Lepisosteus oculatus: one gene and its partner. The protein of the gene in region 1 interacts with the protein of each later gene in a biochemical or structural test. Links are inferred from orthologs where the notes say so. Each region holds a gene or a part of one and is shown in the gene's direction. Other genes may lie near its edges. The genes, in order: coil and vrk1.

Region 1 (15,347 bases):
AACTGGACCAATTGAACAGCCTCTTGCAACCTGCTCTTCAGGTGGCTCTGCTTTAAAGAGGCCTAGAACAGCCTAGACAGGACCCCCCCTCTCCCCTGGACACCCCTGAACTGACCCCTCACCTGCTGACCCCTGTGTTCTGTCTATTTAACTTAAGTTTGGTTTCCAGACGAGAAACCTTTCCAATGACCATTTGTAATCTTTTGTGTGGGGATTATAGCCTGGTGAGTTTTCTTTAACGCGTGTTCAGTCAGAAAATGTTCAAGCTTGTTTTGTTTTGTCAGTCAATCATGATTTAAAAACAGTACAGCAATGTTAACGCCATGTTTAACCGTGGGCTGGGCAGGGGGGATGTTATCACACCATCAGGGTGCCTGTGCAGTGTTACCATGTGTCCGGCCTTGAGGATCCAGTAGAAAGCGAAGTTCTGGTAGGTCTTGTAGAAGGCTCCCGTCTGGCCATGGGAGGCGGGGTCATCCACAGCTGTCCATCTCATCTTACTAAATGCAGGAAGTCCCGCCCACTTCAGCCTCTTCACCCAGGCCTCCTGACCTGCCAGGAACACAGCACACAGCCCCGTCACTGGCACTCCACGACCTCACCCAGGGGCAGCTGCTGCCGCGGGCCACACCTCCTGTACGGGAAGCTACTGCTGTAGTGCCTGAGGTTAAGGGCTCATTACCAACAGGCTGGTTCTCAGTTCAAGCCCAGGCTGTGCCTCTGATTCGGTGTGTCACCCTGAGCCAGTGACTGCAGGCAGGACCCACTCTCCGTGACACCCCTCCAGGGCACCACTGAACACCCCTGAACTGGTCATTCTCAGGGGAGAAACACCCAGGTCTCTGCAGCACCAGATTGTCTCCCTTGAAATAAACCAATTATTCTTCTGCCACTCATCCTCATGAGACAAGCTTGATCACACACCGTTTTGAAATGTAAAACAGGCAGAGGTGAAGGACTGTGGCGTTTCTATGCTGTCTGTGCTCCTGCTTGGACACCAGTGTTCTGGGCACTAATGACAGGCTCTTGTCTTGCTCCTGCTCCTCGGACCATCTGTGTGGTGTGCAAACTCAGGGCCATACCCATGGTGTCCACGATGAGGTCCAGCTGTCCATTGTAGACAGTCACATTGACCCCGGCTGCCAGAAGCTGGTCCACTATGTCCACCACTGGCTTCATGAAGTCCCCCTCCATGCTGACGAAGACGTCCGAGGCCTGACCTGGGGAGACAGGCACATGGGTATGTGTCCCTGCAGACTGGACCAGCGTGACCTGTGACCACGTGCTGTGCAGGAAGCCCTGGGAGACACCTGTCCCACTGCAGGAGCCCACTGGAGAAACCACTGCTGCCCAGCCAGGATCCTGCAGGACCCTCAAGCCACGGCAGGCAGGGGTCGCCTCCTGTCCCACCAGTGCGCTGGGAGGTGGGTCTCTGCTGCGCCCCTCACCAGCCCGGACCCCTCTGACAGAGACGCAGCCCCTCAGTGCGCCCGTCTCTGCTGGTCCAGCTCACCGTCACGGTCACTACGGTCCACAGACGCTCACGCACTGTAATTCAGATCCCGAGCGATGGTCATGTCGGGCAGGTCATTAGGGGATCAGGCGATCCCAAAGACCCTGTGGATCCCCCGCGTGGGGAAACAGGAGCAAACACAGGGAAGGGAAGTGCAGAGCGAGACCGGGGGTCCCTCGGCTGGCCTGGCACGTACCTCCCCAGGTGACCCGGCTGGGAATGATCTTGAGCTTGTCTCGGATGGGCCCGTTCATCAGCTGGCTGAGCGTCTGTCCGTGCAGCGGGCCGAGGCAGCGGCGCTGCAGGGAGACTGCGGGAGACAGCGGGAGCGGGGCTGAGCGGCCGGCGCGCGGAGGGAGAAGATCGGCGGCCGCCAAGAGCACGAGCGCACGACGGGTCTCGGGGATCTGACACCGCGGCGCCGGCGTCGGGCTGGAGTGTGTTTAAAGACACGTTAGGGTGCCATTGTCAGTCTTTGTGCCCACAGTGCCCAAGAGCAGCCCAGAGCTCACTCTCCGTCAGGAATGAAGACCCCAGGGCGGGCAGAGGCTCCCCTGACTGCTGGAGGCGATCTGGGAGGAAGAGAGCCCCCCCCTCAAGAGGAGCAAGGGCTCAACACGGCAGGAAACCCGGCACTCGGGAGAAAAAGAAAGGCTCGTTTTTACCACGGTATCCATTTTTTGCCACAGCCTTCCGTGCCTCATCGGGGTCCTGGGTCAGGATGTTGTAGAAGTTCACCCCGTTGGTGTTCTGAAAGGGCAGGACAGGGTCCAGAGTGACCGAGCGCTCCTGTCCACCGGGGAGGTCATGACCGGACAGGGGCAGGGGCAGAGCTGGACCGAAACTGCCCCCAGGGTAGCCTGCCACAGCTCAGACAGGAAACTAAAAGTTCAACTACGACTTGAATGGTGAATGGGTGCCTAATCTGACCCACAGCCCTGCCCGCCCAGTGGGCGACTCGCTAAGTGTGCTGGATCATGCCAGACCTCTTCCCTCCTGCTTGAAGAAAGCAGTTGTTCCACTGGGAGAGTGGATCCTGCACCGCCTCCAGGGCCGTGTGAGCACGGCCCGCGCCCCTGCTCCCAGAGTGCCGTGTGAGCTCGGCCCGCCCCCCTGCTCCCAGAGTGCCGTGTGAGCACGGCCCGCCCCCTGCTCCCAGAGTGCCGTGTGAGCGCGGCCCGCCCCCTGCTCCCAGAGTGCCGTGTGAGCGCGGCCCGCCCCCTGCTCCCAGAGTGCCGTGTGAGCGCGGCCCGCCCCCTGCTCCCAGAGTGCCGTGTGAGCGCGGCCCGCCCCCTGCTCCCAGAGTGCCGTGTGAGCGCGGCCCGCGCCCCTGCTCCCAGAGTGCCGTGTGAGCTCGGCCCGCCCCCCTGCTCCCAGAGTGCCGTGTGAGCACGGCCCGCCCCCTGCTCCCAGAGTGCCGTGTGAGCGCGGCCCGCCCCCCTGCTCCCAGAGTGCCGTGTGAGCGCGGCCCGCCCCCTGCTCCCAGAGTGCCGTGTGAGCGCGGCCCGCCCCCTGCTCCCAGAGTGCCGTGTGAGCACGGCCCGCCCCCCTGCTCCCAGAGTGCCGTGTGAGCACGGCCCGCCCCCTGCTCCCAGAGTGCCGTGTGAGCGCGGCCCGCCCCCTGCTCCCAGAGTGCCGTGTGAGCGCGGCCCGCCCCCTGCTCCCAGAGTGCCGTGTGAGCGCGGCCCGCCCCCCTGTTCCGAGAGTGCCGTGTGAGCGCGGCCCGCCCCCTGCTCCCAGAGTGCCGTGTGAGCGCGGCCCGCCCCCCTGTTCCCAGAGTGCCGTGTGAGCTCGGCCCGCCCCCCTGCTCCCAGAGTGCCGTGTGAGCACGGCCCGCCCCCCTGCTCCCAGAGTGCCGTGCAGTGAGGGCTCACCTGCTCCACCACGGTCTCAGTGTTGGACCAGAGCTCGGTGGCCTTCTGGAAATCTCCCTGCTCCATCGCCTGCTTCACCGCCATCGCTGCTGCGTTGACCTCCTCCAGCCCGCGGTCGTCCAGCAGGGACTGGGGGGTCATGGGAAAGGGTGAGAACCCGTCACACAGCTCTAGACAGGAGACTCTGAGCCCCCCGGAGCAATCCCTCTTCCCACTACCCTGTGGACTAAGGAGAATCCGTAATCTAAGACTTTAACCAACACCGGAGCAGCCTGCTTGGCTGAACTTTTAATGCTTTAAAAGTGATGTAATGAGCATTCTCCCCATACTTCAGACAACACACTTTTTAAAGTTGCAATCCTGGTGAGACGGCAGGTGTATTATGGTCTACAAGAGCAACAAAATGTTATCGGAGGTAATGTAGCATCAGAAACACCATCAATTTCCATCACCCAGATTAAGCACCGGCGCTGTGCAGTCACACTGGGCTGAGAGATCAGCGTGTGTACGGGTCACACCAGACAGCGCTGCACTCTTACTCACTGTGCTGTACAGGTAGGGCCCCCAGGACAGAACCGAATCTAAAGAGAAAAAACAACAGTTTTTTTCATTTCACCACATTTCCAGGAGAGATACATGTGGACTTGTTTTAGCACTTCATTCTAGACGAGCCCAGACAAGCCCAGAAGAGCCCGAATCCCTTTCGCACCAGCGGCAAGTAGCAGACGGGGAGCACGGCTGGCCACTCAGTCCAGCTCAGCTCTCTCGGCTGCCGGTTTGCTAACCGGACCCTTAACCTCAAGCAGTTTCATCCTGCAGGACCCCAGGAATGTGGGCTACATGGTTTGCCCATGTTTTGTCCCATTGGGCTACAAGAAAATGTGTTCACCTCCTCATGCCTTTCCTAACAGCCCTTCCTCGTTCTTTCTGCATCGTTGCGCTGAGAGGAGAGGAGCAGACCGCTGCTAAAATTCTGCAGTCAATTATACACCGATCCCACTGGTAAATGGACACTGGTGCTCCTTTGAGCTCAGAGCCTCTTGAGGAGCAGTACAGCACAGACGTCGACGCACCTAGAGGAGAAATCCACGAGTCTCCAAGAGCAACTCCAGCAAATCTGCACTTGATCAGGCCCTTCTGCACAGCCTGCAATAGAGCACAGAGGGCACAGAGCACAGCAGGGTCAGAGGTCAGCCTCCCTCCATCCCTCCGGCTGCAAACTAGAGGAGAGCACGAGGCCCAGGCCGCGACCCCCCAAACCGCCTCCAGCCGCCTCTGCAGGCTCCCACACTCGGCCCGGCCGCTGAGCCGGCGCCGTGTCCCGAGAGGGGCGCAGGAAGACGGGGAGGCGTGCAGGGCTGCAGACGAGAGGAAATCCGCCAGTCCGCTATCCAGCCCCTCCCTCGGCAGCCTCGGCCCCGACGGCCCCCCTGCGCAGAGCCCTCCAGCGCGGTTTCACAGGGAGGACGCTCTCTCAAGGAAACACTCTTCCGCCCGCCTGCAGATCACCCAGATCTTCTTACTCCCCTCCACCAGACAGATTTCTCACGTTATTATTTACACACAGACAGCAAAGCGCTGATCCACCGCAGAGCCCAGACTGCTGACATCTCAGTTTCACTTCCCCTTCCTGCCCCGAGGTGCTGAGCGCCGGGCAGAGCGTGCCAGGGCTGGCCACCTTCCCCGAAACACCCCGCAGGCTCCCCCAAACCCTGCACTCCCCAAATCCCCACACAGGCTCCCCAGACACCCTGCACTCCCCAAATCCCCACACAGGCTCCCCCAAACCCTGCACTCCCCAAATCCCCACACAGGCTCCCCCAAACCCTGCACTCCCCAAATCCCCACACAGGCTCCCCAGAAACCCTGCACTCCCCAAATCCCCACACAGGCTCCCCAGAAACCCTGCACTCCCCAAATCCCCACACAGGCTCCCCCAAACCCTGCACTCCCCAAATCCCCACACAGGCTCCCCAGAAACCCTGCACTCCCCAAATCCCCACACAGGCTCCCCCAAACCCTGCACTCCCCAAATCCCCACACAGGCTCCCCAGAAACCCTGCACTCCCCAAATCCCCACACAGGCTCCCCAGAAACCCTGCACCCCATATCGGACAGTACCTCGTGCAGGCTCAGGGAAATAGCCGAAGCCATTTTGCCTCCGTAGGACTCGGAGAAGATGTAGAAGGGGACACTCTGCAAGAGAAGGAGAATGAGAGAGAGGAGAAGACTTTCAGCACAAGACTCCGAACGTGACGTTTCAAACTGCCCCAGGGCCTGAGCGAGGGGCTGAGAGAGGTAAGCATCCTCCACTTCATATGATAACAATAGCACTCTACACTGTATATTGCATTAGATAGTTTTCAGGCCTGAAAGAAGCACCTGTGTGACCTGGAATCTCTACTCGTAGCTTTAACTGTAGTTTGATAAATCCTGCAACATGCGCAGACCACCTCCAACGAGGCAGATGCACTGATTTATGGCTGGCGTCTCCCAGGTGAGGGGCACCTGTGTTCTCACCTGGAACTCTGGCTGGGCCTTGAAGAAGGCGGTCAGCAGGACCATCATGTCGGAGGCCACGGTGGCCACGTCCCTGGCCAGGGCGCCCTCGCTGTCCGTGTAGCTGTAGCCCGTGCCCACGGGGTTATCCACAAACAGCACGCTGGCTGCCTGGACCTGCACACAGACACCGGGGGGCGCTATGTTATCCACCTCGGGCCTGCACTCAGTCGGGGGGGGGCTCTGTGTCAACTCAGCTCCCGGGAGCCATTTGAACTAGGAGCTCAAACTCATCTCCCTACTCCAGCGCTCAGAAGAACGTTTCTAATCACAGGACGCCCTTGACGTTTCAAAGCAGGCAGGCCAGGCCGCAACAGGGAAAAGTGCACCGCGGAGCGATGGACTTTGGTGCGGGTTCAGATGAGACCCTGGAAACGATGACAGTGCGCAGCAGGGGGCGCTAGTGAAGTGAAGTGAGCACGGATCCGCGCGCAGGCGTGCGCCAGACTGGTCTTTACCCAGGTGGTGTTCCTCGGCCGCAGGTCCCTGTCCAGAGGCCCGATCTCTTCGAAGTTCCCGAACCCGCAGCCAGATCCCCCGGGGCCGCCCTGTGGGGCAACAAGACCGCGAGAGCAGTAGAGCAGATGCCGCTAATGAGCCTGGCACACGGGGCGTACAGGAGCCCGTGCTCTGAGGGGACCCCAGTACCTTCACGCAGGGGTGTCTCTGGGGGTGGAGACTCTGCTCACCTGCAGCCACATGACCAGAGGCAGCTGTGTGAAGTTCTTGGAGGGGTTGTTGGAGTAGTACAGCCACCAAAACATGTGCGCCCTGTCTCGCACGTCCACGTACCCCCAGCTCTCCCGACCCCCGCCCGGGGCCGGCGCCGCCCAGCCTGCGAGACAGGAAGAGTCCGACCGGTACCTTCAGTACCGCGCTGGATGGGGCCCACCGGCCCTCTGTTCAGAGTCGGGCCCCTGTGTGGTCTCAATCTCCACATCACTCATTTCGGTGCCGAGACCAGAAAGAGCTCACTGGCTAAACACACCTGTAACCTTGGAGGACTGCTGAAGATACTGCAGAGGAGGACAGGGTCTCATCTCAGGCTACAAAGACAAGCTCTTTATGCAAATGATCATGCAAATCACTGAAAGAGCGACAGCGGACTCTTGGACCTCAGGCCGCGGCCGTGGGATATTTACCTATACAGTTCGGTCTCTAGATGTGTTTACACTCGACTCCAGGGCTCAGTTCCAATGGCGCGGCTTCCTGATCAGACAGTTTGAGCTCAAGTTTCAGGTAAGAGTTTCTTCCTCTCTCGGAGAGCCAAAGCAAACAAAGGATTTTCCTGACCTGGGCTACCTTTGAGCACCAGAACTGTCTCTAAGCTGCGGGAAAGCCTTTATTTCCCTGCGATCTGAACCGAGCTAGTGCGCTCACGCTGCGGGGCAGAACCCGGGCTCAAGCGAACCGTCAGCTGATCGCTCTTCTGCGGCACCGATCACCCATCAAAAAGGAGCCCAGAACGATCAGCTTCCCCGCCCGTCTGCGTTTTTCTCTTCAAACTCGTGTTCAAAACTATAAAGAGATCCATTTTTAAGTTTCCCCGTTAACCCCCCCCCCCACAAAAGATCCGGCGTCAAAATAAAAACCGAAAGTAACACCGTGCAACAGCTCGACTCAGGGAATAAATCTAGAATAACAATAAAAACCGACAATAAGTGTGTTCGTATTAACGCTCAGACCTGCAAGAACAGCGAAGCACAGGAGCAGAGCACTCTTCAGGACCTCCATCCTCGCACAGTCATATGACTTTCCCCGTCAGCTGATTCCTGGCGCCTCATCTGACCAGACACCGCAGAGATCGCGGGGGCGCTAGATGGGCTCTGCTGGAATCTCCGCCATGACGCGCTGCGCCATCTTGGGAGGGGAGAACGGGAGGAATCCGGCAGCTCGAGGAAAAGCTCACAGCGGCTCTTTGGACCCCCTCCTTGTCGTCATGGGGTACAGCACCTCACTCGAGGTACAACAGCAGCGTCTGCAGCGGGGACTCGAACCCACAGCCTGTCAGTCTATAGACACTACTTCAGGGATATTTATTTCAAGGGCAGTGTGCAAGAGGATGGAACAACTTTCAAATTCTCCTGCCTCTGGTTTCCAGCACTAGGTGTGACAGTAGCGCGGGTGCAGACTACTCTATATGTAGACCGCAGCGGGCAGCTTAGCAATGCTCACGGCACACAGGTAAAAATAAACCCTAAAGTACCCGCCTGCTATATCGCAGGGGCTGTGCTGCAGTCACGTGTTATCACCTCGTACTCTATCAGGTATTACAAGCAAAATGATTAAGATAATAAAATTATATTAATGAGATATATGTTTTTATTTGAATTGCTATAAAACACAGCTTTTTTCTGGCTCAGCCCTTAAAAGTGTACGTACAGCTCAACGCATGTACTCTAAGGCCAGTAATACCTGTGAAACCCCGGCGTCCTGGCCAAATTTCCCATTGGCCCTTACCAATCATGGCCTCCTAACAATCCCCCTCTATGAATTGGCTACATTGCTCTCCTCCCCACTGAGAGCTGGTGTGTGGTGAGCGTTCTGGTGCACTATGGCTGCCGTCGCATCATCCAGGTGGGGCTGCACACTGGTGCTGGTGGAGGGGATCCCCATTACCTGTAAAGAGCTTTGAGTGGAGGGTTCAGAAAAGCGCTATATAAGTGTAAGCAATTATTATTATTATTATTATTATTATTATTAACACTATTCCCATCCCAGCACGAACTGCTTTAAACACCTGGGAGAAATGGTCTTTGAGGTCAGTGGGGCGCAGCTCGCCTCCGGTCCTCCAGGTGGCGCTGTCGGATCCAGCGTATTAAAGCGGTTACCGCTCTTTCTCTCGCGAGTCGATTCCCCCGGAAGAAGCTGGGAGGGGGAGGCTGTAGTAAACATCATGGCCGCCCCCACGGTCAACGCGGTGCGGGTCCGGCTGTACTTCGATTACCCGCCCCCGGCCGTGGCGGACTGCCGCATGTGCTGGCTGCTGGTGGACCTGAACCAGTGCCGGGTGGTGGCCGACCTGGCCAGCATCATCAGGGACCGGTTCGACTTCAGCCGCAGGACGGTGCTCAACCTCTCCATGCAGGACTGCTACCTGCCGCCCACGGAGAGCATCCATGTCATCCGCGACAACGACAGCGTCAGGTGGGCGCCTGCCGGCTGGAAGCATTTATTTTAATTCTGTAGAAATGTGAAAAGTGCGAAAGCAAGATAACATTTGTTAGATGTAAAAAAAATACTTTGGTTGTATAATTAACTTCATTATCTCTGGCAGTTAATTTTTCTGATTGTCTTTTTTCTCTTGTATTGGTTTCTGCTTCTCTAGTTGTACTTGTAAATTCTTCATACATTTCATATATTTTTTTTAAAAAAACGTAAAATGATCAGTCCAGTCTCTCGGCCGATGAGAGCTCGTCATTTTGCCCCTGCCTGCCCTCGCGTGTGTTCTGTGAGACGGGGGTTCCTGCGTGGCCTGAGCTGACCTCTTGGCTTCACCTTCACTGTGCCCCCCCCACAGGGTGAAGGTGGAGAAGGTGGCGGACGCGAACGGGTTCGACTGTGGCGGGGCCAGCGAGGAAGACTCCTGCAGGGAGATTGCCACCCGCAGGGCGAAGAGGAGGAGGAAGGACAGCGAGGCCGGCGAGCTGCAGGCCCAGGAGGACCTGGACAAGCCCACGAGGAGGAGGAGGAGGAGGAGGAAGGACAGCGAGGCCGGCGAGCTGCAGGCCCAGGAGGACCTGGACAAGCCCACGAGGAGGAGGAGGAGGAAGGACAGTGAGGCCGGCGAGCTGCAGGCCCAGGAGGACCTGGACAAGCCCACGAGGAGGAGGAGGAGGAAGAAGAGCGAGGCCAGCGAGCTGCAGGCCCAGGAGGACCTGGACAAGCGCAGGAGGAAGAAGAAGAAGAAAGAGAAGAAGGGGAGACAGCCGTCCGCTGAGCCGGCGCCGGGGCCGGTCCCCCAGGAGAGCGGGGCTGCTGCCGCCTCGGGGGAGAGGAAAGGGGGGGTCAGACCAGGTCCCCCCACCTCCTCGGACAGCAGCAGCGACGAGGAGCCCCGCTCCAGCAGTGCGAGCGCCAAAACCAGCTCCGCCGCCCAGCAGGGCGACCGAGCCCAGAGTGGGCCGAGCAGCTCGGTCCCGGGCGGGAGGGCAGCGGCCGGCCGGCGCCCCTCGGACTCTCCCGGGAGCACGGGGCCCGGTCCGGAGAGGGGGTCCCCCGAGCGGGCCGGGGAGGCCCCTGTCCCCCGGGCCAGGGCGGAGAGCTCCAGCTCGGACAGCAGCAGTGGGGACGAGCCGCTCATCAGGCACCCGGGTCTCAGGGGAGGTGACGCGGACCGGGCCCCCCGGGGTGTCGCAGGGGCCGCCCGGGGCTTGGGCAGGGGTCCTGCGCCAGGGGCCGGGGGGGTGAGGGGCCGGGGGGACGGCAGGTTCCCCTGGAGGGGGCTTGGACCCAGGGGGGGCCGCGGGAGGGCGAGAGCAGGGCCCAGGAACCACGTGTACTACAACTACAACGGGGGCGAGCAGCAGCACGACGGCGACGCCCTGACGAACTCGTCTGTGGTGCTGCAGGTGAGTCTGCACGCCGGGCGTCAGGACCCGGGCGGGGTCTGGAAGCCCAGCCCGGTCGTGTTGCGCAGGGAGGAAGGGTGGAGCTGTCGTGGGGAGGTAGGGAATGTGATTTTGTCGCGCACGACTCCTCTCCAGCTGTGACAGCTGACTAGCCCTGCTGTGATTAGGAGCTACAGTCCCAGCAGGAGCTTGGTGAGGTGGGAGAAGACTGGACTGTGAAGTGACCAAGGGGCAGGGAGGGGTCAGTCTCTGGAGATCGAGCAGAGCCGGGCTAGGGGTTGAATCCTGGTCCCGAGTCGATCCTGGGGAGTCACTCCGATGGGCTGTTGTGCTTTGCAGAACCCTGCTGCCGATGCCCCCAAGAGAGACTACAGTCTGCTGCCCCTGCTGGCCGCCCCTCCTGCTGTCGGACAGCTGATTGCCTTTAAGGTAAGACGGGGATTAAAAATAAACTACATTTTTAGTGGGTTGCCTTTTTCAAATTGGGGAATTGTTGATCCTCAAGAAAATGGGTCACTTCTGGATCCGGATGGCCGGGTCTATTCTCGTTCGAGTGGGGAATGAATTTGAGTAGTACGTTTTGAGGTTGAGAGTTGTGGGGAGAAACCTATCAGCCTAATCAGTCAGTGTTCATTATCTTCTCGCTCTGTGTACAAAGGTCAGAGGTTTTGGTTTAACCAGCTTTTAATTTTCCCTCCAAAGAGAGGTTTAAGACATGGCTCTGTGCAGAATGTACAGCCTCAGTGACACCTCCTGCTCCTCTCTCTCCATCTCCTTGAAACGCAGTTGCTGGAGCTGACTGAAAACTACTCGCCGGAGGTCTCCGACTACAAGGCAAGTCCCTGTTCTTGATGCAGGGCTTTAAGAGGAAGGTGGTGGGGTCCACATGCTGGTCTGGGGAGAGCGGTTCTGCGATTGAGCTCGGATGCTCCTGCCTGTGGTTATGGAAATTGTGCAGAACCCCTGAAATCTGAGCTTAACGTCTCGACGGTCCCAGTTTCTAACCGTCTGCTCATCCTGCCATCTTCCTGCCTGTCCTTGCCCCCTCAGGAGGGGAGGATCGTCGGCTTCGACCAGAGCACCAGGCAGCTGGAGCTGGAGCTGCTGTCGTCCGCCCCAGGTACCGCGTGACTGAGCTGGGACAGCCCGCTCCAGCAGAACCGATCCTGGGCTTTCTCTTTCAGGTTCCTCTGGGGAGGTGCGAGACGGACATGGGCCGGGGAACCTGCAGTGTTACAACACTAGAACAGGAAGTGAAGACGGGGTCTGAGCGCTGCAGTCTTGGGGGGGGGGGGGGCTCTTGAAGGGTCTCGGGTTGAAAACTGATTTTCCTCCTGAGGCTTTGCATTGTGCTTCAGCTGGCTGAGAGGAGCGAAGGACTGGAATTTGTACTGTGGGGCTGCAGTCTGATCATTGTCGGGTGCCGTTGTCCTGAGGAAACAGAGAAGTGGATCTGTGCCTATTTATCGTCATGCCTCCGTTAGTTGAAGTTTAGGTGGCAGGTGGTGCTACGTGCTAGAGCCAACAGCTGTGAACATCTGGAGTGGCTCAGTTGCGTGCAGTACAAGCAGCCTGCCGGAGTTGGGGGGCCTGGGGATTTGCACTGGGGGTGCAGACGGGTTTGGTTAGTCCTCCCCCACTCCTCGCCAGAACCTGTTCTCCTAAAGCTGCCGTCTCGTTGGCGGTTGAGCTGTTTGGGTTTTAACTGGTGTCACCCTGGCTTCCCAGCAGCCCCAGCCGAGCCGGGGAAGTTCGATCTGGTGTACCACACGCCCGACGGCGCCGAGATCGTGGAGTACGCCGTCTCGCGGGGCTCTAAGGTAACCGCCGGTGTTATGGCCGCGTGATCATGGCGGGGGGCGCGGGGGGGCGGGGGTCCCCCCTGTGGGCGTGCCGCGTGACTGAGCCCTGCGGTGTCTTGCAGCTGACGGAGCGCTGGGACTCTCTGCTGGAGCCGCGGCTGATCGTGGACGGCGCAGAGGGAGGCCTGGCCGGCGCCGCAGACTGACCAGGAGTCCGGGCCGCGACGCCGCTCGCCTCGAGGAAACTCCCTTTTAGGACTTTTTTTTTTTAATACTGTGAACTGGTTTATAGCGGCTCTTACTGCAATAAGAGTGCTTTTTTGTATAAAGTTACAATTGAGCAAGTTTTAGTTAATAAATGTTCCTTTTCAAAGCTACCCTGTAGCAGCTGGGCTCCTGGTGGCCGTGTCTCGGCAAGGCGGGGTGTAGTTCCCCTTTCCTGCCAGCAGGGGGCGCTTTGGGGAGCGTTTGTGCTAAAAGCGGAGTGAGGGCTGTAAAGAACAGGCAGGCTGCAGGAAACATAGCGAAAGCAGTGGGAGGTCTGCGCCCGAGCCCTGCGTGTGCTCGGCTCCGGTAGGACAGGACAGGACTGGCCTGCAGTGCTGATGCTACACTGGGGCCAGAATGAGCTCAGTGGAGTCCCTGCGCTACCAGGGGCTTGTAGTGGGGCCTGGGTGCTTTGCTGTGTGACCGTGTGTGTGTGTGGGGAGGAGTTCGGGATGTCTCTGCGGCTCGCGGGCAGCCGGTAGTTGCCCTGGTGCTGTCCTGTTCCTCTCCCCTCCCGCTGTTCTGCACGTAGCGCTGCGCTCAGACTCGGTTGCACCACCAGACTCCTTCGTTCACTCTGATCCCTCTGCAGGCCGCTATTCCCTCCGTTTTTGTGTGGATACAGGGGTCTCCCCGCCTGCTCCCGGGGAGCCCCACGCCTGCCCGTTCTCACCCCGACCGCTGGAGAAGCCGGTGCAGTGGAAGTGTTTTACTTTCCCCCTGCTGGGTATGAAACTAGTTCAAGGGCCGGCTGGGTGTTAGGGCTGTGGGCAGGACGGGGGAGGTTCGAAGACGCTCTGGGCGGGGGGGGGCCTTCACACTCTCGGTCTTCGGCGCAGCCTGAAACCCTGAAGCAGCATCGCAAACACGGGGAACACGCTCCGCCTTCACAACCCGGCTGTGTGGCTGCTCCCGGGGGGGGTGTGGTTGTGGAGGAGAGAGTCAGGAGAATGGGCCGTGTGTGTGGGGGGTACAGGGTGGAGGTGAGAGGTGTGTGTGTGGGGGTACAGGGTGGAGGTGAGAGGTGTGTGTGTGGGGGTACAGGGTGGAGGTGAGAGGTGTGTGTGTGGGGGTACAGGGTGGAGGTGAGAGGTGTGTGTGTGTGTGGGGGTACAGGGTGGAGGTGAGAGGTGTGTGTGTGTGTGTGGGGGTACAGGGTGGAGGTGAGAGGTGTGTGTGTGTGTGGGGGTACAGGGTGGAGGTGAGAGGTGTGTGTGTGTGTGGGGGTACAGGGTGGAGGTGAGAGGTGTGTGTGTGTGTGTGGGGGTACAGGGTGGAGGTGAGAGGTGTGTGTGTGTGTGGGGGTACAGGGTGGAGGTGAGAGGTGTGTGTGTGTGTGGGGGTACAGGGTGGAGGTGAGAGGTGTGTGTGTGTGTGGGGGTACAGGGTGGAGGTGAGAGGTGTGTGTGTGTGTGGGGGTACAGGGTGGAGGTGAGAGGTGTGTGTGTGGGGGTACAGGGTGGAGGTGAGAGGTGTGTGTGTGTGGGGGTACAGGGTGGAGGTGAGAGGTGTGTGTGTGTGGGGGTACAGGGTGGAGGTGAGAGGTGTGTGTGTGTGGGGGTGCAGTGTGGAGGTGAGAGGTGTGTGTGTGGGGGTGCAGTGTGGAGGTGAGAGGTGTGTGTGTGGGGGTACAGTGTGGAGGTGAGAGGTGTGTGGGGGTACAGTGTGGAGGAGAGAGGCAGGAGACCAGGCTGTGTGTGTGGGGGGGTACAGTGTGAAGGTGAGAGGTCTGTGGGGGTACAGTGTGGAGGAGAGAGGCAGGAGACCAGGCTGTGTGTGTGGGGGTACAGTGTGAAGGTGAGAGGTGTGTGGGGGTACAGTGTGGAGGACAACCGGGGCTCCCGCCTCATGTTTCAGCCGCTAATGGAAACACTCGCTGCTCTGATGCGCCGACCGCACGCTTGCTGAGCCTTAAATCATGAAAGTTCAGTGCTTCTTTCTGGCTTGCTGGCCTTCTGCGTTGCAATAAAAAGGAAAGATCACGCTGTGGAGGCGAGTCCTGGCGCGGGGTTAGTCCTGGGTCCAGTTTTTTTTTTCCGTGAGATGTAACTAAAACACCCCCGCGCACACACACGCACAAATAATTGAAAGACCAGGCGTGAATTTCTGTTCTAATAGACAATGCAAAAATGGGATCTGTGAAACACCGCGATCTTAACTCCAGCAAAATCAGGTTTAATTTGTTTTTTTTGTGTGGTCGATGTAACCAGCTTTTACCGGGACCGAACTGAAGTCCGGCAATCGGCTGCTACTGCCACACGCAGCTGGTCCAGCAGGGATGGACAGGTCAGTGTGTCCAGTCGGAGGTCTGGCCTTGAAGGGCAGGTTTCGCCTGTCCGTCCTGGAGAGATTTGTACGTCTCGCAAGTTTGCTGCATAAACCATCTTGCAGAACGTGTGAGGACTGAGTTACAGTCCACTATACACTAGAGATATTCTTTTGTTCAGCGTGGGCAGCTTGCAAGGGCGTCCCCTGGAGGGGACAGCAGCAGGTCCTGGGTGTGGATTTCCGGTCTGTCCGCGTCCCCTCTCGGCAGGACGCGCCGCAGGTCGAGGTTTGGCCAAATTCGCGCGTTTCGGAGGAAAGTCGCACCTGAGCTCTTCGGCTCTTCAGGTGAGCGCACAGCCGGGTCAGTCTGGGAGAGTACGGGAACGCAAACACAGTCCTGATTCCGAATACACCCCCCACCACCCCAGAAACCGACTCGACGTGACGTCCCGTGGGGGGGGGGGTGTTTGTTTTTTTTTGGAAGCGTTCCATC
Region 2 (15,902 bases), on another chromosome or scaffold:
TTCTCACGGCAGCCCTTTTATATCCGCACCAATCGTGTTAATAATACATATAAAACAAGAAATCATGCAATCATCATTATGACTGGATTTGGCTGGTGCACACATCCAGATCGACTTCCGATTGTGCAGCATGGCATGCTACCGGAGCGATCCACGTGAGTGGACAGCAGTGGAGCCTGCCCCAGGCTTCACCCTACACCCTTCCAACTTGAGAGCCCTGACCTCTCCTCCACACGGCTGCCTGAACACTCTACATCTTTCCAAAAGGTCAGGCAATTCATTTAGGCAAAATTACAAAAGATCAGTGTGTTGTGATACGGGTATCAAAAATTCAAAAAATATTTCGCTCTTGCTCAGCATCTCCAGGTTATTGTGTTTCTTATACAGTATAGCAGAACTTTACAAACACAATAAGAAAAAGTAGTTCCTCCATTTAAATGCTTCCAAGATTTTGTCGGCTTACTAAATCTAGACTGGTGTAGACATAATACTAGCGTATTAATGATAGTGCCCTAGTTTATAAAGAGCATGTGATTTCCGTCAGCTATTTTTATTTTATGCCTAATATCAGACGAAGAAAAAAAGTGTAAGAAAATGTGAACCATTGTTTTTTAACGCTGTGTCTCACTATTATTGACTTTTTAAGTCATGTCAGGGCCAAATTAAACCAAAGTTCACATGTTTTTTACATGAAAAAAATCACAATCTGGGAAACATGATTTATGATATTTGGTCAGTAGATTAAACAGGAGTTAATGATCATGCACTGAGAAAATTCAAATTTATTTCCTCACTAAAAACAAAATGTTTAATAAAGTATTTGCAAGTACTTGTACTCATTTGCAAAGACATCTGCAAATTCTGTTATATTACAAGAAGCATCTTAGAAGTCCGTACTTCCAATCTGCTTTTTTAATATTATACTTAGATTAAAAGAAAAGAATGTACTGTACATAATTTCCAAATTATTTTGTTTCTAAAGACATTTATGGAAGGTATTTGTCAGGTTGTGGCATCTCAAATAGTATTCAAAAACATGTTCACAATGTACAGTACAAAGATCCCGATTGTCAAGGATCTGCAACAGCAGTACCTGACACATGCTCTTTAACACTGTAGTGTATAATGTGAAACCCTCACAGCTCCACACACAAATAGCATCTCCATTGTCATCAATCTGCGGCTGGATGTTTTTGTCCAGTAACATCACTGTATACTGTAACACCATCCAGCCTCTCCTGCCAGCTTAAGGACCTCCTCCTGGCATCTGACAAAGGATCAGCTTCTTTCTTATTGTTCTTTGGATATTGTGCACTGCATCTCCATCATGATTCATTCTTCTTGAAAATGTTCATCACAGCAAACATACTTTGTCCCATTTATTTCTTCCCTTTCCCCGGTTGCTGGCCCATATACATACCATTACTTTCTTTTCATTGGGTTGGCTTGACGTTTTGCATCATTTCTGTATTCAGGGTCCATGCATGTTACTGACAGCACACTTTAGACCAGAGCACAAAGCAGGCTTCTCCTTGGGAATGATACATATATGACAGTTAAGCCTTTTCATCAAGCTTTTGAATCAAGCTTTTATTTGAGAATATATAGGATAGGAGTATAAAACAAAACCCTTTCCTTAAAAGTGTGATCCTCACTCTTGTTCCCAGAGTGAAACTGAAGTAACCTGGTTTCCAGTCTGTGTGAGCACTTAATAACTTAATCAATTATTGATTTAAATGGTCTAAAGTGCAAGGGTTTTCTCAATTCTTCAGCCACTGGGGATTTGAAATCACCTATAAAATCTATAATTCCCTGGCACTATTTTCTGGATTAAATTTTGACCCATCCACCAGTTTCATGTTATAAACCAACACTTAATAGAGAGTTTCTACCATTCAGGTGCAAGAAACCAGTAGTAAACCAAGCCTCTATCACGTATTATGTTTGTAATTTGAGATTCTTGGCTGACTTGGGGTTTTGATGAAATCCAGGTCAAGTAGTGAGTATTGCTGCCTTAAAAATCCCAGCTCTTATATAACATGGCTTGTTTCCACCCACTCACCACAGTATGTGAAGTAAATCAACACAAAAAAGATATAATTTTCAGCACTAAGAGAAGCAGTCCTGCCCTTTAAAATGTAGCTGAGGTATTCTCATGGTATTCTGTGGATCTGGGGCACTAAAATCGTAGCGATACATGGTCGTGGAACCAATACCATTACATTATTGTGATTATGAAGGAATAGTTAGGTGGCAAACTTAATGTGAAAGCTTTGCTAGAAATTGTAAAAACATGAAATCAATCATAGTTAACATTGCCGCTGAGAGGTTTGGTACAGTGGAGAAGAAGACCCCCAGTGCTCCTTCTGCAATGAACAGGAGAGCTGCCAAAATTCTGCACTTAAGACATGAGCTGAGAATTGTGAAAGGCAAGTGAGGAAAGAGAACACCACTGGCTGAGTTAAGCAATATCCTCAGAAGAAGCCTATATCCCTGCGTTGGGCGGAATGGCATAGGAGATGGGCGAGAGACAGGGCCAGGTAAAGCAAGCTTCCTTCTTTGCAAACCTGTTTGGATTTATCAAACAGTTGCTTGAGAGGACGCGCAGCAGCCAGCTCTCCTGTTCTAAAGAGGACATTGGCTGTTATCTGTGGAATACCCACAGTGATGAAAGACGAGAAGAAGATCTCGGGGACTGCTTGGTAAATCCAGCAAGATCTGGCATCAACTTTGATGAAACAGAAGCCAGCTGGAAGGAGATTCAGGAGGCTGACAAAGCTGCTAGAGCGAGCTCAGCACCTGGCCTGAGTGGAGTACTCTAGAAAGAGTACAGGTGATGCCCGAAGCTTCTCTTTCGGGCTTCGGAAGATTTTGAAGGTTGTCCGGTGGAGAAGGCAAAGTGGCACAACAGTAGAGGATGGGAGAGGGTGTCTGTATTTCTAAAGATGAGAGCTCAAAAAGCATTGATTGATTTTAAAATGAAAAGGATCATTTCACTGCTCAACACTGAGGAGAAGATATTTTTTAGCATTGTAACCCAGCACTTGACATATCCTTAAGAACAATTACATATAAATGTCAGTGCGGGATGGGATCTCTAAGGTGCCAGGTTGCTTGAACTTAGCGGACACTATTAGCTGGGGTATCAAAAGCAGTAAACATCAGCACCTAGAAAATTGGGCCATTGCATTTGTCAGAGCTGGTCAGCAGCCACAGCCCAAAGTATCAGTGGGTTTCTTGGCAAAAGGGAGAGATTGGCAGCTGAAGGTCGACCTAGGAAGGCAGCTTAGGTTCCCCAACACCATCATAGTGACCACACTCAGGCAGATTGTATTGTTGGGAAGACCCAGTGGAGGAGGTTAATGAAAGGATGAAGATCTGTTTGACCAGTGTCATGTGAACGGGTGGAGAGTGCGGTGTGAGGCCATTGAGGTGGGCTGCAGAGGATTTGTCTTCTACAGTCTTCTGGGCCTAACAGGGGTGATCAAGAGGAAGGCCATCAAAACCACATACACGCTGCAGAAAGAGCCTCAATATGGCTGTGGATCAAGAGCAGTGACTCGTGGGCAACAAAGTCACCTGGACGCATCCTGGGGCTTTACCAACCCAGACTAGTCACCGGGCGAGGGTGTCTGACGTTGAAGGACCTGAAACTCCCAGTGACCTCAGGTAACATCACCAATGATGTGTGCAGGTGCATCAGCGGAAGTATTTTTCAAAAACAAAAGCACAAGGATGCATATTTGATGCTATACTACTATAGTACATGTGTAAAAAGTACAATACATAATGTCATCATAAGTATTCAGTCTCTGTGACGCAAGCTTGTCCTTCCAGCTGGTTGTGTGGAGTTCCTGGCTGGTGCACACAAGGACAAGCTAGTAGAGTGACAACGGACTTTCTCCTCCACAAGCTTTGGACTGTCACATTCCACTGGAAACTCAAACCCTCGTTAGTGCTGAGAAATAATAGGCTTTTAATGTTGCTACAAAGAAAATTACTGCTAAATAGAACTGGATTTTTCTATTTCATGTGTGGTGAACTAGTACAAAATCAACTTTCATATCAAAACGCATCCCATATTTTTGGGTTGAAGGACACCAGTTTAGGAAGTGAAAAATAACAAGGAACAAGTTTCTAAAAAGTTGATGAATGGAACCAATACTGTACTGTATGTCCTTAGTAATTTAACGAAGACTGTGGAAATTAAAACTCCAAAATATACAGCAGCTTTTGCAGTAGTCATCTACACAAACATCCGTTAGGCCAAATACAGTTGTAGATGTTGTAAATTTGCAAATTAATTTCAATGAATGCATCACTTACTTTAATAAGTAATCCATTCCCTCATCCCAAACCCTTCTCTGATATAATTTGGTGCCTTCTAGTGGTAAATCCATTACAGTAATTCTTTTCATGCCACAGAAGCTAAAGCACAACACTCCAGACTTTATCTGTCCCTGCAGAGAACTTCTGAGGGTGTTAGGCCTTTAGTTAAGTCTAGGGCCCAGAGCCCTGTGTTCAAGCCCATTATTGTTTACCGCTCTTATGAAGATGTAACCAACAGCAGTACTGCTTTATCTACTTGAAACATTTCAAAGGAAACTGAAAGCCCACGGGTACAATAAATGCTTTAAATAGTCTTTCAAGGCCATTCTCACGGGACTACCCTGCCTTCAAATACCTAATTTAATAAATATGCTATTTAAGCTGCAATTTCTGTTTTGCATACTCTTATTATGACTTCACTTGCAGCCTAAATCTAAATATTTCTCCATTCAGCTGCTGCATACAGTAGCCATACATATTATACTGCTGCATGAAGACCACTTACAAAACTTTTCCCTTCATTCAGGATCGTTTACTTCTACAAGATAATACAGTAAATCAGCCTAATCTAAGCTGATATACTGTATCATATCAATCTTTTGACAAATAATTCTCCTTGATCTAATCATTATTTTTACAGATGGTATCTGAATACAAATAGATGCTAAAAAGGAGGGTAGCCAAATTAAAAGGACGGATATTAAATTCATTATATATACTTGTCCTTAATACTGTATGTGATAACTCAGTAAAATAAGATGAAAATTGAACCCTTCACCTTCTTCCTTTAACCCACCTTTTAATTGGTTTAACTTTTAACCCATACTCATTTCCTTTTAAAATTGCTCATACCAGCTTTAATTAATGTAATTAAGATAATTCATTAAACTTTTTAATTAACTGATTATAATATATTTCAAAGTGTACTCTGTAGTTTTGATGTTTAAGATGTGTAAGATTCACCTCTGACTTGTCATTATTTTGTTGAACATTTGTGCTTTTCCAAGTTATAGAAATATTAGATATGCAATATACTGTAGACATACCACATACTATAATTCACCAGTGTGGTACATTAAATCAACTTCAAATCTGACAGCAGCCTGAATTGACCCTCATTGTCTTGAACGGGGGATGGGTGCAGAGATTCATGCTCTATATACTAACCTGGAGCTGTTCCAGAATCATTGACTTGGGTTCCACTTGGTGCTTTTGACAGGCCTGCTTATAGTTTGCTATTATCTCTTTCAAGGTGATGCTGTCTACTGAAACAAAAATATTCCATCATTACTCACTAAACATATGTTACACGCACTTAACAGGGACTGAGTTTTCACTAAAAACTTAATCTAGATTAAAGCTGTCCCCGTTTTGTATCATTATTTAAAAAGGAGAAACCAAAGTTATAGGAAGTCTCAAGGGTTGTGTGAATCAGCTTTAGAGACATGTTAACAAAAAAAACACTCAACTAACAAATAAATGACCATTAGTGCTTCCTGTCTCAAAGAAATATCTCATGAGGTACACACTGTCCTGTGGAGAAGCATACCGATAGTACAGAACACAGGGCTGTCTCTTAATGCTCTTTTAAACCAAGTTCCCTAAGGATTTGTAACCTTTAGGTCCTGTCCCAGAGCATTGAGGTCAGGTTAAACTTACCCAGACTCTTGAATCCTTTTCTTTTGGAATATAGTTTTAAGGAAATAAAATATGTTTTTGAGCTTATTTACCTGCCCCATAAAATAGCTGTAAGTATGCTAGAGAGATTTTTTGTTTTTTGGTGTGACTGCAGAAATTATTGCATATAGGTAAATACTACAAAAGGTAAATGCAGACATTTAATGTGAGGCTTGAGGAAATGGCAGTGTTCACTTAATCTTGATAAAATTAGTTATAGGATACAGTATGTATTGATCACAGCAAATGTGTTTTAGTCTTTTTCATAATTTGACGGAATTATCAAAAGTATTTTAAATCGGAAAAGAGAGTAAACATAAATACATAAATGGAACAGATAGAGTAAAATGGGATACAATTATACCTAGAGAACAAATTGTGGTCAGAAAATCTGAAATACTTCAAAAGAGATGCTATGTGGTTTAGGCTCAGAACTCTGAAGTAAACATTCAATAGAATACAATTGCAGTAAAAAACAGAATAAGGTAAATTAATTCTTAAGAATCATGATTGTCCATCAATTCATAGTGATCTGGACCATCTTTAAAAAGTGTTTCTATTTATATATTTTATAAGGATATATTAATTCTAACAGGAACAGCAAAGGCATAAAAAGACACAAAAGAAAAAATAACTGTGGTTTCCTTACAGTAAAAAAATTAAAAGGGACAGAAAGCAGTGTTTTAAAAATAAAATGTGGTAGTGCAGTCAAGCTATCTTAAGGATACAATTCCATTGAAATACATAGTTTTGTCCTTAAAAGCAGTGGAAAAAAAGTGGTTTGACATTAGGAAAGGGGTGCGAGTGGAAATATAATGAGTACCATAGTGTTCTAGCTATGTCATCAGCAGCAGCATTTTACTGTGAAAAACAAGAGATATCAGGGTACTTAAAAAGACAAGCTGCAAAGTATCCCACATGACCAGTTAATTAAAGTCTGGGGGACACTGGTTGTAACCTTCGTAGAATTCAGATTTATGGGGCTCAAACCTGAAAATACAGAAGAATGAGTGGCCAGAAAATGTCCAATAGATCTTACATTCCAACTCACTCCACTTCACCACACACCCTCTCTACTGTATATCTACAGTCTGGGGAATGCAGAGATGAAAGGGTACAAAAAGGACATCAGCTCACCGTCCCTCCACACGTCCTTGTGCTCAGCGAAGCCTGACACCATTTCTTCATCCGATGGGAAAGACACACGCTTCTCGCCTTTGCTTTTCTTTGTAAACTGGAGAGAGGGAGTCAGTGCTGCCTTGCTGTGGTCCTCAGAGTAAGCCATCTCGAGCTGTGGGCTCAGCACCCTGTCAGTACAGGACTGGAGTTAAACCAGCTAAATGTTGTCTGTTCACAATCTCCTTGACTTCCGCATTTCAGTAAAAACAAACTGTATTTTTTTCTCCACACAGTAATACCTAAGATAAAGTGCACTGCTGTATGTGGATTTTAGTCGAATTTTCAGATTCTGTTCCTTTTGCGTCCTATTACGCTGGAAAAACTGTCGTATTAAGTCACTGTTCCAGGTTATATACTTTTTGTATGCATTATGAAGTCAATCAGTATTATTACTACCAATAATAACAAAGCTAACCTATGAAGAACTGTCATAATATAGAGTTATTAGCATAGCTAAGATATGCAGAATCTTAAATATGCATCTTTCCTATTCAGTAGTGCAAAATGCTTCAACAGATAGTAACTCTCTGAGGACACAGGTCGGTGCTGAAGTCTGAAGTCCTTTTCTCTGTTCTACACTTTTGTAAAGCTGATATAGGATACCATGCCATTAATTATTTATAAGGCAGTCTTTTAACATGCATGTGAAATTCAATATTTCCATATCAAATAGCCAGATAAAAGAAACTAAAGCTAAGAAGGCATAAACTACATTTGCACAACACATCTTATTTTAAAGGACCTCTTTGCTAAATGCTCTAAGTGTGCCCTGGGTATGCACTATGGAGATTTCTGGGAATGAGTTCATAGGCACCAAATACTAATTATTAATATGAAGACACAAACGAACTCTTCAAAGTATTGTTAATTACCCCTACGGGTGCCGTGTCAGTAATGAATACATTATGTGCAATATGCTGATCACACATCAACAGGGTGAGGAAAAAAAAGTTTCGCTTCCATTCTTCTTTTGACTGTGAATATGAAAGAAAGTATTCAATAATCTGGCGGTGTGTCCAGGAGGCCTCTCCTTTCTTTTTGAACGCAGCGAACAATCCGACAGTTAAGGATGTTACAGTTTTGTCCGGAGAGGTTTCGTGTGTTGTGTCTAATTTAATTTTGCTACAGTTTCCGCACACGGGGAGACGCGAATGGCGAGCGGCTTCAGAGCCCTGCCTCTCCGGCGCAACGTGTTCGCTCCGGGCTCTGCTCGTTTCGGAAAATGTCCGGATTTTGTCCAGCAGCCGGGTAGATGGTCAAAATGAATGTGAATGAAAGATGATTGCGGCTTCTTTCCGTGCCGAGAATCCCTTGACACATGACCCAATTTCCTCCTCTCCCTTCATCCCCTATTGCTGGGGTCTCCAGCTCTAGCCGCCTGCAGAGCACGACAGCAGCGCTGCAGCTGGACTCGTTAAACCTATCCTCGCTGAAAGGAAACCATGGACAATTGTTAAAATTACTATAAAATGCAAATAATAGGCTTCATGTACGCCCATATATACCTTGCATATATACCAGAAATACAAAAGGGGGAGAAAAATGTTATTTACATCCCCACGTATAAGAGGAAACCTTACTGCCCCCGACAAAACAAGTGCTGTCTTGCAATAAATACAAAGAATGCAACTCTTTCGTGTAAAGGCTGTTACCATCTCAGAGTTTCTGAAATATTGAGACACTGGCATCTGTAACTTTTTGATTAAGCTAAGTTTGTGATAGCGTGTTGTCGCTACTGCTGATAGGAATTCCAAAAATAACAAGTCTCTAAGAGGTACATGGTATACAGAGAAGCAAAAACTGAAATAAAATGTTGTTTTGGCATAGTTTAGGCTATCAAATTTTAGAATGGTCTAATTAGAAAACTGGTATTTAATTTACTATTGGCTGTTCTTGTATACTTAATTTGTAAGGACGAGCATCTTACAGGATTTCCTGGTATTTCAAACGCGACTTTTCACTCACTGTGTAAGAACTACAAATACCATCAACCACCGACGAAACCCCGGATGTGAAGCGCGCACTACTCCCGTTTCTGACCAATGAGATGCTCCGTTGTTGCTGTGTTTGTGGAAGGTGTTCCTTCTGCTTCTCAGTGCGGGAATTTCGGAGTGTTGTGGTCGTCAGGAAGGAAAATAGGAAGAGCTCAGAGTCTTGGTTTATTCCGGATACTATAAGTTTTGGTACCTTGAGAGGTTAGCTATCTTCACTGTCCAGTTTTTTTGCACGATCACTGAGGTTTTATTTGGAAACAAAACAGGAGCACGGAAATTGACGAAGCAGTAAATACCGGTAGGCCGTATAAGTCGGTGAAGTTAGACTTCCCCGTAACGTTTTAATAACAAGTCCTAACATTGTGATGTGTTACAAAGCGCGTGAAGTTCCAGCAAAACTCGTAATTAAATTTGACTGCAGTTCATGTCCTGTGGAGTTACTATGTACGTTTTGGCTTTTCTCGTCGTGCTGTGTTTTCAATTTGTGCAGCTGACCCACAGGGAAGGTTCAGTCGCCGCATGTAAACACTCCCAGGGTAGCAGCTGACAGCCCGGGTTAAAGAACTAAGCGCGGCTCCTAAGGGTCGTCTTCAGCGGGTGTTGAGAGCTGTCTTGGACTCGTGGTTCTCATCATGTGTTTTTACTGTGTGTGTAACGCCAGATGCCCCCGAAAGGCAAGGTGGCGGGGAAGGGCAAGGCCCCGGCGAAGAGAAGAGTGGCCGAGCGGTTTCCCCCGGGGGAGGTGCTGGCCGACACGGCGAAGAAGCAGTGGAAGCTGGGCGGGCCCGTGGGCGAGGGGGGGTTCGGGGTGCTGTACCTGGGTGAGTCTACCCGAACTCTGGCTGGAGCGGGTTCTGCTGATGAGCTCCCTTTATCCACTCCGCAAATGGGTCAGCCCCGGCTGAAGGTCTTGGTATCGGTCCGGGTATTCTCGGGTCATCTTTCCAACAGAAGCTCATGTTTACAGTGCTCTGAAGATCCCTTTTTTTTCCTTTTTCATTAAATTGCAATTAAATTTCAATAAATCCTTCGCAGCTCTCCTTCTCTCTTGCGGGAAGGCTAATGCGTGATTTTATCTCTTTTAGGCTTGATTATTACAGTGCAGTTTTGGGTTCTTCACTTTCAGCTGGTTAGAACTGCTTGGGTCTTAAATAAACCTGCATTTCTAAAGTAAATGTAACCTGCACCGCCTTCTTTTGGGTGTCTGGGTTTGAATAGGAAGGGCCCTGTTTTGTTGCTCCAAGACTGGAGTGATCTTCTAACCCATATCAGATCTTACAAATCACTCAGCACTTTCAAATCTGGTCTTAAAACTCACTTTATAAACTGGTTTTATTGTCAGTTTACTGTATTTGTGTATTATTACCTCTGTTGTTCTATAGTAAAGTACTGTGAGATTCATCCTGTGATTTAAATCTAATTTCCATTATGTGCGATCTTAAATTGATGTTTTTAGCTGTGCATGTGTGAGGGGATATGTAAAAGTCTGTCACTGTTAATTGTAATTGAATTTTTTTATGACTGTGAAACAAACTTGGGTAACGTATCTGATTTTCTTTTTAGCTGATGAGAGTTCTAAAGCAGTTGGGAGTGATGCACCTTATGTCATTAAAGTGGTAAGATTTCTTTTTTTGAGAGACTTGAATTGTTGATTTTGAATAGTCCCTACTGAAAAATCCAAATTATATAGACTGCATTATTTTAGTGCGTGGGTGATTCTTGTGCAGTTCATGTAAATACCTGAAAAAGGGTGCCAATTATATTTCTAATACTATAGATTATAACTTTAAGGTATGTGTTCAAACGTGAAAACTACAGTTGTATACTGTGCTTATACAGGAGCCAAGTGACAACGGACCTCTTTTTTCCGAGCTGAAGTTCTACATGAGAGCTGCTAAACCAGAACTAAGTAAGCTTTCTATAAGTGTGAGGATTGTAACACTCTTGTCATTTAAATATATAAGCACGTAAAAACTTTTTTATTAAAAAGTTATTCTTCAACAACTTAAGGGACAAATACACACACTGCAAAATGCTTTTGGTGTTCTCTGTGGCCCAGGGGTTTGGATTATATAAATTAAAATTCTCATGTGCATCTCCCCAGACAATTAATCTTTATATTACTAAGTAAGATTCATATTTTATTCATTAAACTTTCATGTTGTTGGTAAATATTCGGCCCACTAGCAAGTTTGCTTGCAGTCACTCATAACTTTGCCTCAGTGGAATTGCATTATTATTACATAGCATACAAGAAAGTTGGATTTTTTCATTAAACACGTTTAATTGATTTCCCCATTCTTGATTTAATTTTCACTTCAGTCGGCAGAATCTGACTATACTGTATAGTTTTTCAATAAAGTATGATCAATTTTCTCCAATGCATTTCTAATCTGCTTTGGATGCTGTATGTGGTTTCTGCACAGTGAAAGGTTACATTCACGGGTTGACTGAGTGTGACCGACTGATTGGGTGTGAAGGTTTTAGACTGTTTTTTCCTGTTTAGTTCAGAGCTGGGTGAGGTCTCACAAGCTGAAATATTTAGGAGTCCCGGCGTACTGGGGATCTGGACTGCACACAAAGGGAGGGAAGAGGTGAATCTGCTTTTAATGTTTCACTGCGTAATTCAGCATTTCTTTGTCTTCAGCAGTGCATCTGGGAAAGCCTAGCAATTTAAACTGTATCATATCTTAGTGACTAATATGCCAAATGTTTAAAATAGTTTCACTTTTCAAACCATTATATTTCATTATTTTCTATTATGTGTGGAATAAAGCCCTTTTGTTTTAGAGGGCTGTTTAAAGTTTTGTAGAAATAAATGCTTCTTTTTCAAAGATAATTTTCTCAGCAGCTAAATATACCTAGTGCTGTCACTAGGAAGTGAAAATATTAAAAAATCAGAAATAACAAAAAACATTACTGTACTATTTGTTAGCTTTATAAGGACATTTTCTTTGATAAGCTCAACTGATTAGAATGCAATGTTCTCATTATTTCATCATTGTCCTGACAGTTTAATTCATCATCACAGCTTGTACTGTTAACCTTTTCTAAAATCCAAAGTGATATATATTTTTATAAATGTCTTCACTGTTTTAGATATAGGTTCATGGTTATGGACCGATTTGGTACAGACCTGCAAAAAATCTTTGAAGAAAATGGAAAGCAGTTTTCTCGAAAAACAGTCCTGCAGCTTGGACTGAGGCTTGTAAGTAGTTTGATTCAGCCTCATACTTCTGTGACTGTAGAGTAAACAAGATAATGTCATTTAATTGAAAGTGTTCATTTAACATGTAGTTCTGCAAATGGCTGCTGCAGCACAATGCTGTGATTTTTAAATGAACAGAATATCGCCAACATTGTGATTTCAGCTAACAATGGTGCTGTCATTCTAATTGTGCTAACGTTTTCCAGGTGAGAGCATAACCTCCTTTCACTTTAAATCTTGATTCAGAGCATAATCACTAACGTTGGGCTCATTTTTCTTGCCAGTTGAAACTGCTGATTATTATAACGTTGCTCTCATTAAATTATAAAAGCAGAAGCTCCAGTTCAGACATGTTCGATTTTAACTAGACGTTGTCCTCTATGGACCTGAAAGCTCCCTCTGAGCTGGAGCAGCGATGGAGGTCAGCTAAGGTCTGTGTTGATGTCCAAAAGTCCCACTTGATGTAATGCAGGGATGCCCTGGCAAAAGCTTAGGCTAATTATTTATCTGCTTCAATTCTAGAAGAGAAAAATTAACAATTTTTACCTATTGCAGTGATTTGAAATTTCTCTGAAAACAAATATTCAACCATAGCTATCTTTTGTAATTTCTGAAATTTCTCTGCCTCCTGACTTAATTTGCCATTGCTGTTTATCCTACAAATAGTTCAGCTCTGTCTACCAGTAGCTTGTCTTGCTGTGATGTTGAGAAAGTAGTCTTGGAGCTGCACCCTGCTACTGTTAACTTAGATCCCTGACCTACCTGGGTTTTCAAAGACTGAACACTCCTCTTTGCTCATTGATTAGATATGTCTTCTAAAATCCATGTTTTCTTTTAAGGGTTTAGCTAATTATGTATCAATACTATCTTTATATAAAATACTGGAAAAAGGACTGCTAATAGTAACAATTAGCTAGAGAAGTTTCAGTCTGGATTTGTTCAGATATGAGCATAGTAACTGCCTTATTAAAGATTAACATTGACCTTTAAATGAATTCTGGAAAAGGTTGGCCTATTATTTTGTTAGAAATGTTCTTTGCAGTTGATACATTTGCTCATACAAGCCTTTGAAATCATCTGAGACTTTATGTTGATCTTTCTGGTAAGGCTGGACTGGTTTCTTTCTGGTCTTCAAAATCTGGGTGCTCTGAGGTTTGCTGTTCCTTAGAGGACCATCCCTGGGCTCCTTTGGTTGGGCTACATGCCGCCTTTGAGGACAAATAGAAAATCTAAACTTGACATTTGTTGAGAGTTTTTGCAATTGGCTCTAAAGGAGGCTTGGCATAATATGACTCCATTAATGTCATTTTAGAAGGAAATGTTGATTTATTATTGTTTATACAGAACTGAGCCTTCCTTCAATTTAAATTCTGTTGTTTAAACTTCTAGATTCAAACCTGCATAACTTGAATGATGTAGACAAGTACATTTATAAATTCATGGCTTGATTTTTGAATGTCTTGGCTTGTTCAAAATGCATCAGCAAGGCTGCACGTGCCCACAAAGCATTCTCAATCTGTTAAAGCAGTTATAAAATCACTACATTGGCTATTTCTGAGTCATGAATCATTGAATTGACTTTAAAAATGGCTATATTAACATGCAGAGGTCTTTGAGGTAAAAGTCCTTAATATCTTCAAGAGCTCTGAATTTCATGTTACTCTCAGATCTGAGCAATTTGACTCTCTGGTTGTACTGGAGAAGACCATAAAACAATAAGCTTATTGCTGTTGTGCTCTCCATCTACTAAATTCTGTTCCACTTGATGTTGGCTGAAATATACTGAAACTCTTGAGTTCTTTGAAGTCCAAGTGAAAAACCTTTTTTTTTTATTGGTTTTCATTAGTAGCTAAGCAGCAGTGTTGTTTTTTTGTATGTATAGTATGTGCATTTTGTATTTGTTTAACTCTGTGCAGTCCTCTTTTTCAGAGCGTTGTATAAAAATAGGTTTGACACCTGACCTCCCATGGTGCTGTGGTGTTTGAAGCACTTGTCTTCTCTTGCTAGCTCGACATCCTGGAGTACATCCATGAGCACGAGTATGTGCATGCAGATATCAAGGCCTCGAACCTTCTTCTTAGCTACAAACACCCCAATCAGGTCAGTGTCCTCGTGTCATGTTTTTATTTTAGGATTTCTAACAGAAAGAAAATGATGGTACAGTATTTAACATTGTTTTTTTCAACTTGTTAATACCAATATTACGATGTATATGAAATGATTGATGCAGTTTGCTTAAATTAAATTTTAAGACCCTTTCACATTAATTTATTTAGTCTGTGTGCTTGTGTAAAGTGAAGATTGGTAATAAGGATGCATAACAGAATGCTGTGTTATTGCTTTTTATACATTATTTCTGTTTAAGTTGTAAGAAATAGAGGTCTACCTATGTTTGTATGCTGTGCATGTGATACCTTGAAAAAATAGATGAAATAACTACAAAGCCTGTTCAAAGCACATTAGATGAGCAAATATTTAATTTGGAGATTAATAATGCAACAGTGGTATATTATTAAACTGCTATTTTTATAATTAAAATTTAGACTGAGACCTCTTGGGATTGTTGGATTTAGTTGTTCGCCTTTTCCTTAGTTATTGAAATGTGAATGACTTTCAAGCTGTTCTTTCCTTGCTTAAATGTTCAGGGCTATAGATGCAGCATGTTTGGCTAATTTAGTTTATATAAGCTGTGTACTGTTGATTTGGCTTCAAATGTATTCAAACCCTTGGTACAAACTGAACTTGATGTAACTGAAAATAGGTTTAACAAACAAATTCAGTTGTGTTCAAAATTATTCACACCTCAGCAGTCATTGTGTTATTGTTACTCCCTTGTGTTTAAGAAGAATGTAGAAAAGGTGCTGGACCGTGGGGCTAATGTTTTTATTCTCCTTTAAGCATTTGGCAGTAGATGTGGAAGAATGTTTCAGGTCATTATAATGTAATTTCTGTTTGTGATCAACCGAACGAACCAGGTTTTTGGATAAAATACCGTGATGTACCTCGTAATCCACCCTTTGCTCAACTTGTTATAACTAGCAGCTTCCTTGCCAGTAATGGGTTTAGTGCACTGCTGTTAAATTCCTTTCTGACCAGCTGAAGTAGGATATTTTCCAGAAATGTCCTGAAACTATTTTTTTTTATCATTGAAAGCTTATCTACAACATAAAACCTTTTCATTTATGTTTTGTGCACTGCAGTTCAATCTGCATCTAAAACTTGTATAGATTAATATAGGTTTATTGCATAATATTTCTCATTGTATATAACTATGGATATGGATACAAATATTTATCTAATTTATATATTTATATATTTGCAAACTCAGGTTTACTTAGTAGATTATGGACTGGCCTATAGGTATTGTCCAGAGGGGAACATAAAAGACTATAAAGAAGATCCAAAGAGGTGTCATGATGGGACCATTGAGTTCACCAGCATTGATGCACACAGAGGAGCAGGTACGTTAGTATTCAAAATGAGATGAAAATATTATTCCCTCTATATGAAGATAG

What was found.
Region 2: of the proteins of coil (region 1) and vrk1, one has a biochemical effect on the other in vitro, tested with the Homo sapiens proteins (2 studies listed by BioGRID and IntAct, with this or other methods). The link is inferred for Lepisosteus oculatus from reciprocal best matches to the Homo sapiens genes COIL and VRK1.

The regions. Positions count from the first base shown.
Region 1 is NC_090704.1:46,852,625-46,867,971, reverse strand, and holds coil (coilin), read left to right. Parts: upstream 1-8,690; 5' UTR 8,691-8,695; coding exon 8,696-9,093; intron 9,094-9,466; coding exon 9,467-10,517; intron 10,518-10,856; coding exon 10,857-10,946; intron 10,947-11,303; coding exon 11,304-11,351; intron 11,352-11,567; coding exon 11,568-11,637; intron 11,638-12,245; coding exon 12,246-12,337; intron 12,338-12,441; coding exon 12,442-12,525; 3' UTR 12,526-12,696; downstream 12,697-15,347. Other genes in the region: scpep1 (retinoid-inducible serine carboxypeptidase), read right to left, coding at 389-552, 1,083-1,220, 1,710-1,823, 2,179-2,263, 3,388-3,516, 3,931-3,968, 4,461-4,533, 5,509-5,583 and 4 more. UniProt on the Homo sapiens protein: Component of nuclear coiled bodies, also known as Cajal bodies or CBs, which are involved in the modification and assembly of nucleoplasmic snRNPs.
Region 2 is NC_090703.1:1,340,804-1,356,705, forward strand, and holds the start of vrk1 (serine/threonine-protein kinase VRK1), read left to right. Parts: upstream 1-9,241; 5' UTR 9,242-9,380; intron 9,381-9,386; exon of another isoform or gene 9,387-9,477; intron 9,478-9,840; coding exon 9,841-10,000; intron 10,001-10,742; coding exon 10,743-10,795; intron 10,796-11,018; coding exon 11,019-11,088; intron 11,089-11,685; coding exon 11,686-11,773; intron 11,774-12,278; coding exon 12,279-12,387; intron 12,388-14,394; coding exon 14,395-14,487; intron 14,488-15,715; coding exon 15,716-15,848; intron 15,849-15,902. Other genes in the region: protein phosphatase 1 regulatory subunit 37, read right to left, coding at 5,497-5,594, 7,144-7,291. UniProt on the Homo sapiens protein: Serine/threonine kinase involved in the regulation of key cellular processes including the cell cycle, nuclear condensation, transcription regulation, and DNA damage response.